2 linked regions of the Ovis aries genome follow. The main gene of each other region encodes a partner of the protein of the gene in region 2 in a complex. Links are inferred from orthologs where the notes say so. Each region holds a gene or a part of one and is shown on either strand. Other genes may lie near its edges.

Region 1 (3,803 bases), on a different chromosome or scaffold from region 2:
TGGAGCCCACCTGGCCAGGCAAACTAAAAAAGCTCTGTAGTTCTCTACAGTATGAGCTTGCCAGTCTTTGTCCCAGAGCTGAAGGGCAGAGGTTAAGAAGGGGGCAAGTCTGCCTACCCCTCACTCCTGCCACCTCCTGCCTGGATGACTCGTCGCCCCTAAGCACCCGCAATCCTCGGGGGCTCCTGCCCACGCTGTGCTCTCCGCATACACACAGCAGGCAGAGTGAGCTCTTTAAAACATAAAGAGGTCACGCCTCTGCCCTGCTGACCCCGTCAGCGCCTTCTCCCTGCACACGAGGGAACGCTAACCCTCCTGTGGACGCGGAGTCTACACGGTGCTGCTCTGGCTATCCATCCTTGTCTTGCTCCAGCTCGTCGCTCAGGACACGCCAGCCCCACTGGCCTCCCTCCTCTCGTTCCTGGGATGGGCAGCTCGCTTCCTTCTCTGAGTCTTTTCTTGCTGCTCCCTTTGCCTGGGATGCTCTTCCCCCTCTTCTAGGAAGGCTGGCTCTGCTCACTACGTGGGGCCCTGGTGCTCCACCTGAAGTCACCCCCCTCCCCAGCGCTCTCTTAGCAGGTCATTCGGCTTGATTTTCCTGCAAAGCACTTGGTATCTGACGTGATCCTGCACGGTTCCTTTACCATCTGTGTCCCCGGGGGGAGTTCAAGCTCCACTGGGGCGTAAGTGTTCTGGTCTCCGTCCTCAGCCCCCTGTGACTGAAGCAGAGGTAGCTCTGCAGTGCCCCTGGGATGGGCACAGGCCCCCGGAGGCCAGCTGTACTCACCCGCACTGCTTGAGCTCCCTGCCTGGCTTGAGCTGGGCTCTGCCACTGGGGTGCTGAGGTCTTCCACACAGGAAGGAACAGATGCCAGCAGACCTGGGAATGAGGCAGGGGAGTAATCGGAATGCAAACTCACAGGACTGAAGGGGCAGGTGAGGACAAGACAGGGGGGTCCTAGGTTCTGTCTCTCCCCACTGGCTGCAACTAATTCAGCCCAGCCTGAGCGGCCTGTGCCCAGGAAGTCAAGTCAACAGCCTGGAAGGCAGCGCTCGGTGGTGTTCCTCTGCAAACATCTGGGAATCCCCAATCCCACCCCAGGAGCCCGGAGGTGCTGCCCCTGTCTGGGGATGAGGGGATGTGGGGGCGGGGGTGGCTCCTTACAGAGTCCCCGGTAGCGGGAGAGCTGCTGGTAAACTTGCTTCATCCGCTCGATGTTGAGCCGGCTGGCCTCGGCGTGGTTGACGATGGGCCTGGGGTAGTCCACGCCAATGATGCACTTGGCTGCCTTCTGAATGGACTCTGGGGCGTTCCAGGGCTCATAGATGTACCGGGAGGGGAACCCTTTCAGTTTGGGCAGGTATCGCCTGAAACGCACCCACCGGACGACCTGTCAGCACGCCGGGAGCCTCCTCCAAAGGCCAACTGTTTCTCACCCAAGGAGGAGGCTGCAGTGGTCAGAGTGCCTGCTCTGCATCCTCACCTGATGTAGTCCCCACTGGGGTCCGTGCGGCGGCCAAAGCCCACCGGGCAGTAGCAGTGGAAGAACTGCTGGAAGAAAGCACTGCAGGACAGCCACATCCAGCTGCCGGCGTTCACGCTGAAGTCCGCGTCCAGGAGCAGCTCATCGAACACCTAGACGCAGGCAGGAGAAACCAGGAGCCTCCAGGGGGGCCTCGACCATGGTTCTCCCCCAGTCACCACATGACCCCCAGGGAAGGGTGTCAAAGCCTTCTGCTGTGGGCAAGCCAAGAAGGATCTGGAGGGAATTTCCTGGACCCAGGGGCCCCAGCCCACCCCCCAGCCCCCACGGGGGCGGCCCGCTGAGAGCACTCACCCGGACCCCGCTCTCCCAGCTGACCCAGAGGTCCCCGCGCGTGAGGAAGCAGGCCACAGCGTGCCGGGCCAGGTGGTGGATCCAGCCCTCCTGCCTCAGCTGGGCCATGATGGCGTCGATCCAGGGGAAGCCTGTCTTGCCCTCGGCCCACTTGGCCAGGGCCTCGGGGTTGCGATCCCAGGGGATCTGGATGCAGATGGGGTTCCCCTCCATGCGGTCGAACCTGGGGTTGTTGGTGGCCGCCGTGTAAAAGAACTCTCGCCACAGAAGTTGCCCAAACAGGGAGAGTGGGGGCGTGCTGTTCCGCTTCACCTGGGGGCGGGGACAGCACACGGGTATACACGCGGGCCTCGCCCCTGGCACCTGCCCCTCGGCCTCCCCACAGAGGACCGGAGCTGCCACCTCCACCCTCGACGCGGGGAGGGGCCACGCCCAGGAGAAACGGCAGAAGGTGCCCCCAGAACCCCGCGCCCTGGCTGTGCCCACTGCTGCTCTGAGCACCAAGACGGCAGGCGGCAGGGATGGTGCTGTGGGACTCGGGGCTGGGAACTGAGCTCCCCAGGCTGGTCACGACCCCTGTCCTCAGGGGCCCCTGTGTAACTCTTTCTAAAATGTCAAAGGGGGTCTTCTCAACAGCACACACACAAAAACGCTCAGTCTAGATTTTGGTTAAATACGTGATACCCGAAGCCTGGATCTGGGGCCATGCGGGAACTAAGACCCTCCAAGCGAATGATGCATGTGCTCATCACATCCGAGCTCTTTTCAGCCCACGGACCGTAGCCCCAGCCTCCTCTGTCCCTGGGACTCTCCAGGCAAGCACACTGGAGTGGGCGGCCATGCTCTCCTCCAGGGGATCTTCCCAATCCAGGCATCGAACTTGTGTCTCCTGCCCTGGCAGGCAGATTCTTTACCACTGTGCCACCTGGGAAGCCTCAAGGGAATGATACTTTTCCTAAAATCACAAGATTACCCACCGAGTGGCAGAGCTACCCCAGGCCACAAAATCGGGATACTGGTAAACGTAAGGACACATGAAACAACGCAGATGTGAGGACGACCTGATGAATCTCAGGAGCTGGAGGTGTGGCCCTCTCTCTTTGTGGGGGCAGGTACATTACCACAAGGTGCTCTGCCCGTTGCCCCATCCGGCCCTGCATTTGGCCCTCTGGTTACTTCCTCATCACTGATGGGCAAGCGCCATGAGACAGTCTGGACACCACCCCGTAGCGGGCCACTGCGCTCCTCACCTCAGGACTGGCTCCAGCCTCACCCGTCCTGCCTCCCGCCCTGAGGGCTCAGCCCTCACCACCCTGCTGCTGGCAGCTCTGCCACCCCGGGCGTCTCGCCCTGAGGCCGGCCTGTCCAGCTCCACTTGAGAAGCTGGATGTGGTTTCGAGTGGAGGTTGGTGCTGTGCTTGGCTCCGCCACCTCTCGGATGTGGCCTGCTCCTCACTGTCTCTGGACAGTGCCCACACTTTAGCCAGAGGGAAGGCCTCCCTGCATGCTGACTGGCCGGCCCGGAAGACCCTGGTCCGTCGGCTGCGCGCGGGCGGGCTGACGGCCCTCACCTTCCTGTACAGGTCCCACAGGCGGTAGTAGAAGAGACGGCAGGAGAGGCACCCAAAGCGCAGGTAGGGGCTGAGGCCCGTGGGGCTGGCCAGCAGGGAGCTGGCGTTCATCCGGGGCCTCTCGTAGCTGGCAACCCAGGCCTGCAGCAGAGAGAGAGGACGGAGGAAGGACAGGCTGGGACGCTGCTTAGGAGCGAGCCTGATGCAGCCGGTGGTTAAGGAACCTGCTGAAGGTCGCAGACCGGAAAGCCAAGGAGCCAGGACCAGAGTTCTGCGCACGTCCCACCCCTTCAGGCCGGCGCGATTTCTGATGGAACCACCACCAGCCAAACAATGGGGCCCAAGTTCTCACCCTGACTCTGTTTAATTTGTGCTATGACTGTAGTAAGTTATT
Region 2 (3,803 bases):
GAGGACTGCCCTCGCTCTGCCGGGGCACATGGGCACGGCTGTTTGGGGGCTGAGGTCCGATCGGGGAAGAAGTCGGGCTGTGAGGCAGGAGGCATCTCAGATGCAAAGTTCCGCTGGTCGGGGAAGAAGGCTGCGGGCAGGGCTGGGGTCACCGGGGAGAAGGAGAAGCCAGGCAAGACCAATGCCACGACGGGGGCCACGGGGCCGGCGAACGGCGGGGGCTGGGCCCTGAGCGCCTGGTGGGCGTCCATGGGCACCGCCAGGTTGGTGTGGGCAGCCCCGGACCCTGTGGCCACGGTCCCTGGTGCGGGCACTATTCCTGGGGCTGGAAACAAGGGCAGGGAGTACGCTGGCACTGGGTCAGGGAAGGGCACCGCTGGGCAGCTGGACTGTGACGTGTCCGACAGGGACCAGGCCGTGGTGTTCAGGCCGACCAGTGGGGGCCGCTGGGGCGCCAGCCCCCCAGACCCAGTGCTGCCCGAGGAGTCGCGAGGCTTGACACGCTTGGACTTCAGCTTTCGGTTTTTCCCGTTTTTTTTCCAAGAGGAGTCTATTCCAGAGGTGTTTCTTAGTCTGGGAGCAGCTAAAATAATAGCGATACAATGAGAGTTAAAATCCTTCAAGCTAGGATTCAGCAGTATGTGAACCAAGAATTTCCAAATATAAAAGCTGGGTTTAGAAAAGGCAGAGGAACCAGAAACCAAATTGCCAACATTCACTGGATCATAGAGAAGGCAAGGAAATTCCAGAAAAACATCCGCTTCACTGACTTTACTAAAACTTTGACTGTGTGAATCACAACAAACTGGAAAATTCTTAAAGACTTCGGAATACCAGATCACCTGACCTGCCTCCTGAGAAACCTGTATGCAGGTGAAGAAGCAACAGTTCGAACAGGACATGAACAACAGACTGGTTCCAAACTGGGAAGGAGGACATCAAGGCTGTATATTGTCACCCTGCTTATTTAACTTATAGGCAGAGTACATCATGAGAAACGCTGGGCTGGAAGAAGCAGAAGCTGGAATCGAGACTGCCGGGAGAATTATCAATAACCTCAGATACGCAGATGACACCACCCTTATGGCAGAAAGTGAAGAAGAACTAAAGAGCCTCTTGATGAAAGTGAAAGAGGAGAGTAAAAAAGTGGGCTTAGGATTGGGAACTCATGTACACCTGTGGTGGATTCATGTCAATGTATGGCAAAACCAATACAGTATTGCAAAGTAAAAAAATTAAATTAAATTAAATTAAGAAAAAGAGAAAACTAAGATCATGGCATAAGGTCCCATCACTTCATGGCAAATAGATGGGGAAACAATGGAAACAGTGAGAGACTTTATTTTTTTGGACTCCAAAATCACTGCAGATGGTGACTACAGCCATGAAATTAAAAGATGCTTGCTTCCTGGAAGAAAAGCTATGACCAACCTAGACAGCATATTAAAAAGCAGAGACATTACTTGGCCAACAAAGGTCAGTCTAGTCAAAGCTATGGTTTTTCCAGTAGTCATGTACGGATGTGAGAGTTGGACTATAAAGAAAGCTGAGTGCCAAAAAATTGACACTTTTGAACTGTGGTGTTGGAGAAGACTCTTGAGAGTCCCTTGGACTGCAAGGAGATCCAACCAGTCCATCCTAAGGAGATCAGTCCTGAGTGTTCATTGGAAGGATGGATGTTGAAGCTGAAACTCCAATACTTTGGCCACCTGATGCGAAAAGCTGACTCATTTGAAAAGACCCTGATGCTGGGAAAGATTGAAGGTGGGAGGAGAAGGGGACGACAGAGGATGAGATGGTTGGATGGCATCACCAACTTGATGAACATGGGTTTGGGTGAACCCTGGGAATTGGTGATGGACAGGAAGGCCTAGCGTGCTGCAGTTCATGGAGTCACAAAGAATCGGACAAGAGTGAGGGACTGAAATGAACTGAAAGGCAGAACCACTGATCTCATCTAACCTCATATCTCAACTTTACAAGCTTTTAAAAAGAGATGTTTTTAAGACATCATTTTTAAGAAGAGATGTTTCCTGGTTCATCTGCCAAAGGAGCCTGGGTCCATGCCTGTGGAGTCAAAAGGCTGAAGGCACACAGGTCTTCCTCTGACACAAGACCTGCTGAGAGGGGCCGTCCTCAGGAGGCTGTAGGGACTCAACCTGTGGTGTGGGGGACACAGGGCATGTCCCCCCTCCTCCCCTGGGCACTGGCCGGGACTGGGGGTGCTGTGGGCCAGGGGGTCACACTGAGCCTGGTGGGTGGGGCACAGGCAGTGGGAGGGCCCCAGGAACCTCAGGTTTTCTTCTAATGTCACAGAGGGTAACTTGGGGGCTCTGGCAGCGGGCGTGTGGGGCTGGCCCCTGCCAGCTGTGCCACATACCAGGGCAGATGGGCCGGCCTGGCGCGAACGGCCACGCGGGTGGGGGTTCTGCCGCCAGCCTGTCTGCCTAGTGCTCTTCCTGCAAGAGTCCGTCTCCCGCTGTGACTGGGAGTTGCAGTGCTGGGCTCCGGGTCTGGGCGGGGCTGCTGGGGACAGCTGGGCGGCAGGGGCACTGCACAAGCTGCTGGGCCAACAGGGCTGGCGGGCGCCGGGACTCTGCACCAAGCTGGGGCTGGGGGGCGCCGGGACTCTGCACCAAGCTGGGGCTGGGGGGCGCCGGGACTCTGCACCAAGCTGGGGCTGGGGGGCGCCGGGACTCTGCACCAAGCTGGGGCTGGGGGGCGCCGGGACTCTGCACCAAGCTGGGGCTGGGGGGCGCCGGGACTCTGCACCAAGCTGGGGCTGGGGGCCGCTGGGACTCTGCACCAAGCTGGGGCTGGGGGGCGCCGGGACTCTGCACCAAGCTGGGGCTGGCGGGCGCTGGGACTCTGCACCAAGCTGGGGCTGGGGAGGTGGGGCCCTGGCTTCTGATTTCCAGAGGTTCCCTGTGTGCCTTCAGTAACCCTGGGTCCAGGTAGGAAGGAAGAAAGAAGAGCGGGAATGGCATAATCTTCAAGAGCAGGGCCAGCTTGTCACTCCTGGGACACCCGTCTCGGCACATCTGCCCAGAGGCCAGGGGCGCTGGGCCCTCGCGGTGTGGGCGCCTTGGGCTCGTAGATCTGATCCTTGTTTCGGGGCCTGGAGCCCAGGAGAGAGCTGGCATCTCCAACCAGCTTGGCCCTGACCGCAGGGCCCAAGAAGGCAGTTGGGGGTTGGGAGCCCGGCTCCTGGACCAGACGAGGGGCGAGGAAGCCAGCCTGCTCCACCGCAGCCCCGTGTTGGCTCTTCAGACCCCCCACGCTCTGTCTGGCCCTGGAGTCTGGGCCCCAATGGCAAGGCCAACCCGCCAGGAGGGTGTGCATTCTGGGGAGAAAGGGCGCCCTTTCCTTCTGCAGCATCATCTGGGATCCCTGCTTCCTCAGGAGCCTGACGTCAAATGCTCCTTCCCTGGGTGATGAATTCGCCCCCTTGGTTCTCTGAGGGAGGGAGAGGGGTGGGGCCACCCAGGCAGAGAATGCCTGGCAAGGCAGGAGGACAGTTGCCCGGCCCTGTGCTCCACAGTGGGGGAGGTGGGCCTGTCACCACTGTTTATAGCACGGTTCCCTTGGGAACGCAGGTGACATCCCCAAGAGTGTCACTGCTCAAGCTCCAACAGCATCTTACAAATGCAGGTGTCCTAAACAGGGGGCGCTCACCATCTGAAAGCCTCACGGGACGCAGTAGCGTTAAGAACAAAGTTTAAAAAAAGAACAACAATAAAACCCACTTTTAGTTCAGACGTCATCACTTACTCCTGTTGCTCAAGTGCCCCTTGGGCCTTTCT

What was found.
Region 1: the proteins of PER2 (region 2) and CRY2 are in contact, whole or in part, in a crystal structure (PDB 4U8H), measured with the Mus musculus proteins. The link is inferred for Ovis aries from reciprocal best matches to the Homo sapiens genes PER2 and CRY2. Residues at the interface, in NP_035196.2 of Mus musculus: Tyr1132, Leu1134, Gln1135, Asp1136, Pro1137, Trp1139, Leu1140, Met1142, Ala1143, Asn1144, Thr1145, Ile1149, Met1150, Met1151, Thr1152, Tyr1153, Gln1154, Leu1155, Arg1158, Asp1159, Leu1160, Val1163, Leu1164, Asp1167, Gln1168, Lys1170, Leu1171, Leu1174, Gln1175, Ser1177; in NP_034093.1 of Mus musculus: Trp58, Ser63, Ser64, Val65, Lys163, Leu166, Thr167, Lys169, Arg170, Glu215, Leu216, Gly217, Phe218, Asn330, Pro331, Ile332, Cys333, Ile334, Gln335, Ile336, Pro337, Asp339, Asn341, Pro342, Glu343, Leu345, Ala346, Lys347, Ala349, Glu350.

Annotation. Positions count from the first base shown.
Region 1 is NC_056068.1:74,829,757-74,833,559, reverse strand, and holds part of CRY2 (cryptochrome-2), read right to left. Parts: intron 3,551-3,803; coding exon 3,410-3,550; intron 2,151-3,409; coding exon 1,839-2,150; intron 1,637-1,838; coding exon 1,485-1,636; intron 1,369-1,484; coding exon 1,166-1,368; intron 881-1,165; coding exon 788-880; intron 1-787. UniProt on the Homo sapiens protein: Transcriptional repressor which forms a core component of the circadian clock.
Region 2 is NC_056054.1:3,068,560-3,072,362, reverse strand, and holds part of PER2 (period circadian protein homolog 2), read right to left. Parts: coding exon 3,772-3,803; intron 584-3,771; coding exon 1-583. UniProt on the Homo sapiens protein: Transcriptional repressor which forms a core component of the circadian clock.